Linked DNA regions of Bombyx mori. The protein of the gene in region 2 purifies or fractionates together with the protein of the main gene of each other region. This does not show direct contact. Links are inferred from orthologs where the notes say so. Each region holds a gene or a part of one and is shown on either strand. Other genes may lie near its edges.

What was found.
Region 1: the proteins of activin receptor type-1 (region 2) and protein 60A purify together in Drosophila melanogaster (affinity purification with western blotting, with the first as the bait; 3 studies listed by BioGRID). This does not show direct contact. The link is inferred for Bombyx mori from reciprocal best matches to the Drosophila melanogaster genes sax and gbb.

What each region holds. Positions count from the first base shown.
Region 1 is NC_085110.1:8,226,291-8,230,652, reverse strand, and holds the start of protein 60A, read left to right. Parts: upstream 1-1,545; 5' UTR 1,546-2,119; coding exon 2,120-2,489; intron 2,490-4,362. Other genes in the region: protein CWC15 homolog, read left to right, coding at 1,191-1,328. UniProt on the Drosophila melanogaster protein: Required for the growth of imaginal tissues and for patterning of the adult wing.
Region 2 is NC_085126.1:11,570,989-11,574,555, forward strand, and holds part of activin receptor type-1, read right to left. Parts: intron 2,992-3,567; coding exon 2,806-2,991; intron 2,275-2,805; coding exon 2,128-2,274; intron 1,075-2,127; coding exon 890-1,074; intron 1-889.

The DNA.
Region 1 (4,362 bases), on a different chromosome or scaffold from region 2:
TTGGGTCTCACTTAGATTATAATTATTCAGAGCTTTTGTTGTGTATTGGTATTTTAGATATCCTTGCCATATGATAATAATATGATGTGTATTGAAACATGTGCAAATAATATTCAATCAGTATCTGTTTTGATATCTCATTGGTGAAGTATACTGACAACTACCAGATAACCCTTTTATACCAGGTTGGCCATAAGTTTGTTCACCTATCTATGCTATAAAAATAACTATTAAAACGTATTGTTGCTATTGTTTTCGGTTTACTTGTATTTGAATCAATATCATTGATACTCCACAGGGAATACTTTAATAATGCACAAAAAAATTATTTTTCCTTTCATTATGCATATGTAGCGGCAGATATTGAGGATTCAAGACTATTAAATAATTTCATTTAGACTTTGGTTGATTCATTATTTTACATTTTCGGTTCTATAAACACTGGTTGCTGTTTTGACACCACAGGGACTGTGATTTTGTACACCCACTAATAAATACCATACAAAAATGCAAAAGTAATTGAAAGTGATTTTAAGAACATTAACATAATCTGCTCAAGCATTGGATGAATCCGGTATTGGAACGCCCAGAGGCACCACTCAGCACAACTCGTCATTAGGCCTCTACATGATATCATTAGAGAGAGACTGACTGAGTTATGAGAGTCACAACCTTCATCTATGAGGGTCGATTAAGAAGAATTTAAGAAGTCGTCGTGGCCTAAAGGATAACTCATTCGGTGCATTCATGTTGAGCGATGCACCGGTGTTCGAATCCCAGGCGGGTACCAATTTTTCTAATGAAATACGTACTCAATAAATATTCTCGATTGACTTCCACGGTGAAGGAATAACATCGTGTAATAAAAATCAAACCTGCAAATTTTAATTTGCGTAACGACTTGTGGTAGGATCTCTTGTGAGTACGCGCGGGTAGGTACCATCCCCTAGCCTATTTCTGCCGTGAAGCAGTAATGCATTCCGGTTTGAAGGGCGGGGCAGCCGTTGTAACTATACTTGAGACCTGAGAACTTATATCTCAAGGTGGGTGGCGCATTTACGTCGTAGATGTCTATGGGCTGCAATAACAACTTAACACCAGGTGGGCTGTGAGCTCGTACACCCATTTATGCAAATAAAAAAAAAGGACAATCGTAATATTATATCTATATTTTTTTTGGGTTGTTCCAGGTAAAAAGAAGATGGGATGATGACGTTGTTTTCAAAAATTGCGCTCGTTCTGAACCGGAAAAGAAACCTAATACTTTTATAAATGACTCATTAAGATCAGAGTTCCATAAGAAATTTATGGAAAAGTACGTGAAATAGTAAATCATTATTGATATTGTAATTCTAAATTTAAAGTTGTTAAAAGCGATTCTATACCTTATTGTAAGCGGAATAGTGATAACGAAGTGGAAATGCTACTATGGATATTACAAACACGTAAAGAAAAGATTGACGAAAACCAATATAATTTTAGTAAATATTATGAAAAAAATGTCATTTTGTTGTTTTGAATAAATTATATGAAAACAAATAGTATTTTATAAAGTTTATTTTCAAGTTAATGTCACGTTACTGATAAAAAGTAATGTTTGTTTCCTCAACAACAGATAGAGGTCAGTTCATTAGCATAATGTGTCTAATTTACTCATATAACAACGAACATTGCTTTCGGGTTCGAAATTTGAGACTCAACTTCTGAGTTTCAGTGGTAAAAATCTTGGTAGTTGGGGTATCCAAACTAAATTAGGGAAGGTATTAAAGAGATTAATTTACAAAAAATTCAAACTTACTGCCCCGATTTGATAATCAATACGCCACCCGTTAAAGTACATAACTGCATTGTTAATGGTAGTAATAAATAATTATTAAATTAACTTATTAACATTCGGAGTTCGGACTGACCAGACTGACGTGTCCGGCGAAGTTGAATGTTTTTATTATTGCGGCGTTGTGAGTGAGGCGTGAGAGGGGAGGCAGTGGTAAGTGCGGAGCAGGCGGCGGCGGCCTACCTTGAGTGGGCAGGTCCACAGCTAGATCCCGCGGCTGGCCATGACGCGTCTCACATCTCGTTAACTCGCCACTAGCCAGTCGCAGACGCTCTCACAACGAATATGGCTGGTTTTGTGCAGTTGGTGTGTGCGTGTTTTGCATTGTTTACTGTGGTCACCGATGCCATACTTTCCGGACTTTACATTGACAATGGTGTTGATCAGACGATAATTCATCATACGATTACACGACACGAGCGCATGGTAGTAGAACATGAAATTTTAGATCTTTTAGGCTTAGGAGAAAGACCCAGAAGATCTAAATCTCCACCTTTGGATCGTTCGGCTCCAAGTTTCCTGTTGGACGTTTATAAGCAACTGGCTGAGGAGCACGAACAGGCACGCCCTACACGTAGTTCTGACATGGCTCTCAGCGGTGATGAGCAGCAAGCTATTGATGAAAGTGATTTAATTATGACTTTTCAAAGCAAAAGTAAGTTATTTTTTGTTTTCATTGCTATTTTATGTTAATTAAAATTTGTTTTCACCATATTACAATAACGAAAACAATATACGTAGGTATGTGAACATAATACTATGCAATGGTTTATTTACCTTTTTTTTTATTTACTTGCCATGCCGAGCCGCCCTAGCAGTACTTACTTCGAATGGCATAGTTCGTAAAATTATTAGAAACCCACGTTAAGTATCAGCAATAAAACTATATTACTGAATCTTAACAAATTTCCAGATATTATAATCATATTGTTATTTTATCTAGTGCATATATTAATGCCACATAAATGTACTCGTAAAAAAATAATTAAAGATCGTGTATTTCTAAGAACAGTTCCCCTGTTTATAGCATGGATCATACAGAATAACTAATTATTACCGTTTAAAAAAATTCAAAACCAGGTCTAAAAACGGCGCGAGTTTTCTTTAATGTTCCGTAAATTATTATTATTGTATTGTAATCTCGCATCAACGTGGTGGTCGAGACCAGTGACTCAATGTCTTACTACCTGGCTACATACCTCATGGAATTCGAACTATGTAAATGTGATTTTTAGGGTTCGGTAGGGGAAAAATGGCAAATGACTGAACCTTTATAATTTCGTTCGATCTTTTTTACTAGATATCTGTTGGACGTATAAAGATTAAATTTGAAAGATATTTACCTTATAAATTTAAAGTCATTTCAATATATTTATATTTTAATATATTCATGTTTATTATATTCCGGACGGCCACCGCTCAGGTTTCGGCCACCACGTGTGATTTTTAGACTTCTTACTCTCGTTGAAACGTGGTGGCTCGAGTATTGCCGCAGTGGCTGTCGCGGAACGGATGCTGGGATTGGTTCGAGGAAATAACGAAGGCTTCAGTATGGCGTTCACACGGTCCTCGTGGCTTGACCGGCGCAGGGCGTAGGAGCGAGTCTTTTCTTGCTTCTTGGGTTGGCGCTCTCCTCTTCTTCTGGAGAGGTCTTGACTCGTCGGCTCGCTGTCTCGAACTGAATTTGCAGCGAGGTAGGCCCCTTATTTATGGTCGCCCACACGCACTCGGCCAGCGCTATTATGAGTCCGAGCACGGTGGGCGTCTATTGTTCTCTCGGCCGCCTCGCTCGCCTATTGTTTGCCTAGTCGCTCTATTAGTTGCCCGTTTTGTGACTCGCTCCTGCGTTCCCACGCCAAATTAAAGACCACGAGGACCAATCTTTATTTACAAAATAACATTTACAAATTAACTTATTTCTATTTACATTTGTATGCTAACTATTTTTAACATACTGTCTATCTCTATTTCTATTAAATCTAGCTGTACTTGCGAACATATTCCTATTCTAGCGTATCTATTTACGGACATTTCTGTTTTAACGTATTATCTATTTATTCTCTATTTATTTATCGCGGACATTTTCTATTATTTTACAACTGTCTATGTGCATCGCGAACAATATCTATTTAACTATTTTCAATCATTTATGTCCGTTCGGGAATATCTTATTCTAACTATGTTTCTTTATGTCCGTCGCGAACATCCTCCCGCCGTGCAGCGTCGTTCACGTCGCTGCATCCTCCTTGGTGAGCGGCGGTCATCGTGGGCAGCACGATGATCTTCTTTGCCGGGCGTCGCAATATACCGCCGGCGGTGCGTACGTCGACCACTCGAGTGATGCCGTCGGCCCCCGGGTAAACCTCCTGGATGATCCCACGTGGCCAGGTGTTCCGTGGGAGCGTTCCGTCTGCTATTATCACGACGTCGCCTATCTTCAGGGCGGGCCCGCGGCTGTGGGGCTCCCGCCGGTTCTGCAGGTCGGGCAGGTACTCCCGGAGCCAGCGACTCCAGAACACATCTGCCAG
Region 2 (3,567 bases):
GAAGAGAGAGCGAAATACTCGCTTCACTGCTCCGATTATCTATAACCCAAACTGCACGGACAAAATAATTCTACTATAGTTCAACTGTTTTTAAATTTTGAGAATAAAAATTGCTGTCGAATTACTGTCCTTATTTTAATGTTAACAAATAGATCAGCCACGTATGACGCCATAGTTAATGTTCAGTTTGACGTAAAAAAAACCATTTTGGTTATTACATTATTTTGTGAAATACATTTTCATTTGATCAATTTGATCAAGACACCTCCAGACTGGTAATCATTGTTGATGGTCTAAAAGTAATTATAGAATTCAGGCTGCCTAGATTTGTCTTAACAAGTACTGTTCATGGAACATGTTTTTAATAGTTGAGTCTTTAGTTTGGATTCATGGTTTAATAATTAGGTAGATACCTCCGTCTGGTGATCGTTGTTGATGGTCTATTAAGTAATTATAGGATTCAGGCTCCCTAGATTTGTCTAGACAAGTACTGTTCACGGAACATGTTTTAGTTTGGATTCAGATGGGCTATATTAACCCGATATAGCTTTGTAGTTAAAGCCCATAAACATGTACCACGACGAGAATGTCATTCTCCTTGAGACATGAGATCAAATTCTAAGCTCGGAGAAGTGATTCTTGGATTGGACAGAAACAGGTACTGTACAAACTGAGACCTTAGAACTATTATCTAGAACTATTATATCAAGGTAGGTGACGGCATTTACGTTGTAAATGTTTATAGGCTCGGGTAACCACTTAACATCAGATGGGCTATGAGCTCGTCCACACACCTATGCAATAAATAAATAAAAAGGTACAACAGAGGCCCATGTGGCCTGAGCCTACACTACTGTATAGCTACAAAAAAGTGTACCGGAGTACTCACGTGTGGTCCAGCATCTCGGGGCTCATATACCTCTTGGTCCCCTGGCGAGGGTTGTGCAGCTGCTGGCCCTGCTCGATGTGCTGCGCGGTGAGGGCGAGCCCGAGGTCTCCGATGCAACACTCCCCATTCACCTTGACCAGGATGTTCTTGGACTTGATGTCCCGGTGTGCTATCGCAGGTTTACCCTGGAAATATTTTTTTTATTTTTTTTATTGCCCTTGTAAACAGACGAGCATTCAGCCCACCCAATGGTGAGTGGTTACCGTCGCCCATGGACTTCAGCAATGCTAGGGGCAGACCTAGCCGTTGCCTGCTGCCGCTTTTTATCATCATCATCAGGATCTTCATAAATTCCATTCAGATTAGACCAGCCATTTGCAGTGTAATAAATTATGCTTGGTTGTTCTCTATTCAAGCACACTATGTCAATAAATTTTGTTCTCTTTGGATAATATCATTGCTGAGGTTTCCCGTGAAAAAACTCCCAGTCTTATTGTATTCTATTCCCCATTCTCAAGGCTTGTGTTACTAATAAGAGAATTGGTTAATGTGAATATGAATTTTGGTTAATTACTACATATTATAATATATCAACACATTGAGTGAGATGATCATTGATTTAATGATTAAATCAATAATTAACTTTTTTTTTAATGCAGAAATCAATTTCAGTTAATAAGTGGCTTTGTCAATTGTATTGGAACTACATCAAACTAACTTTCACCAACAATTTCAAGCTGTTAGCAGCATTACTACAAACTTAATGCGAGTTTTTTAGCGTTCTCGATAGCGTAAAATTAACACAAGTTTGTATGCAGTTGGAACAGCTTCCGTTCGTTTGCCGCTAGGGGCGCTGTTCCAACTCCATACAAACTAGTGATGTTGTTTGTTGTCGTGTGGCCCGGTCACCGTCCTCGTCGAACCCGTCGCTAGCGACGAAGGGCTCGACGAGCGAATTAACCCACAGACACAGCCCACCGAGTTTCTCGCCGGATCTTTTCAGTGGGTCGCGTTTCCGATCCGGTGGTAGATTCTGCGAAGCACTGCTCTTGCTAGAGTTCGTGTTAGCAACACTCCGGTTTGAGCCCCGTGAGCTCACCTACACACGTTAGGGCGAAGCTGAAATAGCCTCTCAAAGCTATCAGCATAGGTAGGTACATATATACTGCAGTCCAACAGATGTCTTAGTCGACTTTTGAAATTGGAGTCTTGTTCGTATTGTAATAAGTGAGGGTCACCTGGGTGCCGTGTATCTGCGTGTGCAGGTGCAGCAGGCCGCTGGCGGCGGACAGGCTGAGCGCGGCGAGCTGCTGGCGGGAGAGCGTGCCGCGCTGCAGGTGCTCGTGCAGCGAGCCCAGCGGGTGGTACTGCGTGATCAGCCACAGCTGGAACCACAAGCGGGGGTGAGGGTTCTGACGTCACCGGACCATGACATATTCAAAGTCTGGAGGTGTGTGGAAGCAGGCGCGCTTTCTGTAGACTACGAGATGGATTGATCAATATTGATGACATTAGTAGGGAATAGTTTGAAAGCGATTGTATCAGGACTAAATTAAAGATCTGGCAGCAAAGGGGGCTGGATGTCATTATTATTTTAGATGCTATGGAAACACTGCTGGGAGAGCGCCTTGTGAGTCCGTAAGGATAGCTACTATCATCTTGCATATTTCTACTGTGAAGCGTTTGAAGATTTCCTTAACAATAACCACTAAACATCAAGTTGACGGTGAGCTCATCCACCCATTTAAGCAATACAAAAAAAACACATTTAACTAAGTCCTTAACTGGAGTTGACTTCGCGTTGTGTAGAATTCTTAGAGCCTCTAATAGGACCAAAGAATATTCATTGGAATATCAATGAAGGTTCATGTTAAATGGGTAATGTTTAGTCTCCACGACGTGAGCCTGGTGCGGACCTGCGTGCAGCTGCCGCGGCTGGTCATGTCGCTGCCCACGTAGGCCAGGATGTTCTGGTGGCGCAGCAGCACGGTGCTGTACACCTCGGTCTCGCGCTTCCAGCTGGCCTCGTCTCGCGAGAAGAAGATCTTGACCGCCACGCTGTCCCCGTACCACGAGCCGCGCCACACCTCGCCGTAGCGGCCCTGGGGACGAGACACGGTTATTATGTTATTATATTTTGAAGTCGTCGTGGCCTAAAGGATAAGACGTCCGGTGCATTCGTATGTAGCGATGCACCGGTGTTCGAATCCCGCAGGCGGGTACCAATTTTTCTAATGAAATACGTACTCAATAAATGTTCACGATTGACTTCCACGGTGAAGGAATAACATCATGTAATAAAAATCAAACCCGCAAATTTTAATTTGCGTAATTACTGGTGGTAGGACCTCTAATGAGTCCGCGCTGGTAGGCACCACCACTCTGCCTATTTCTGCTGTGAAGCAGTTAATGCGTTTCGGTTTGAAGGGTGGGGCAGCCGTTGTAACTATACTTGAGACCTTAGAACTTATATCTCAAGGTGGGTGGCGCATTTAAGTTGTAGATGTCTATGGGCTCCAGTAACCACTTAACACCAGGTGGGCTGTCAGCTCGTCCACCCATCTAACCAATAATTTTTTTTTTTTAAAACTTTACGGTAGACAGCGTCTTGGCTCTGCCCCTGGTATTTCTGACGTCCATGAGCGATAGTAACCACTCACCATCAGGTGGGCCGTATG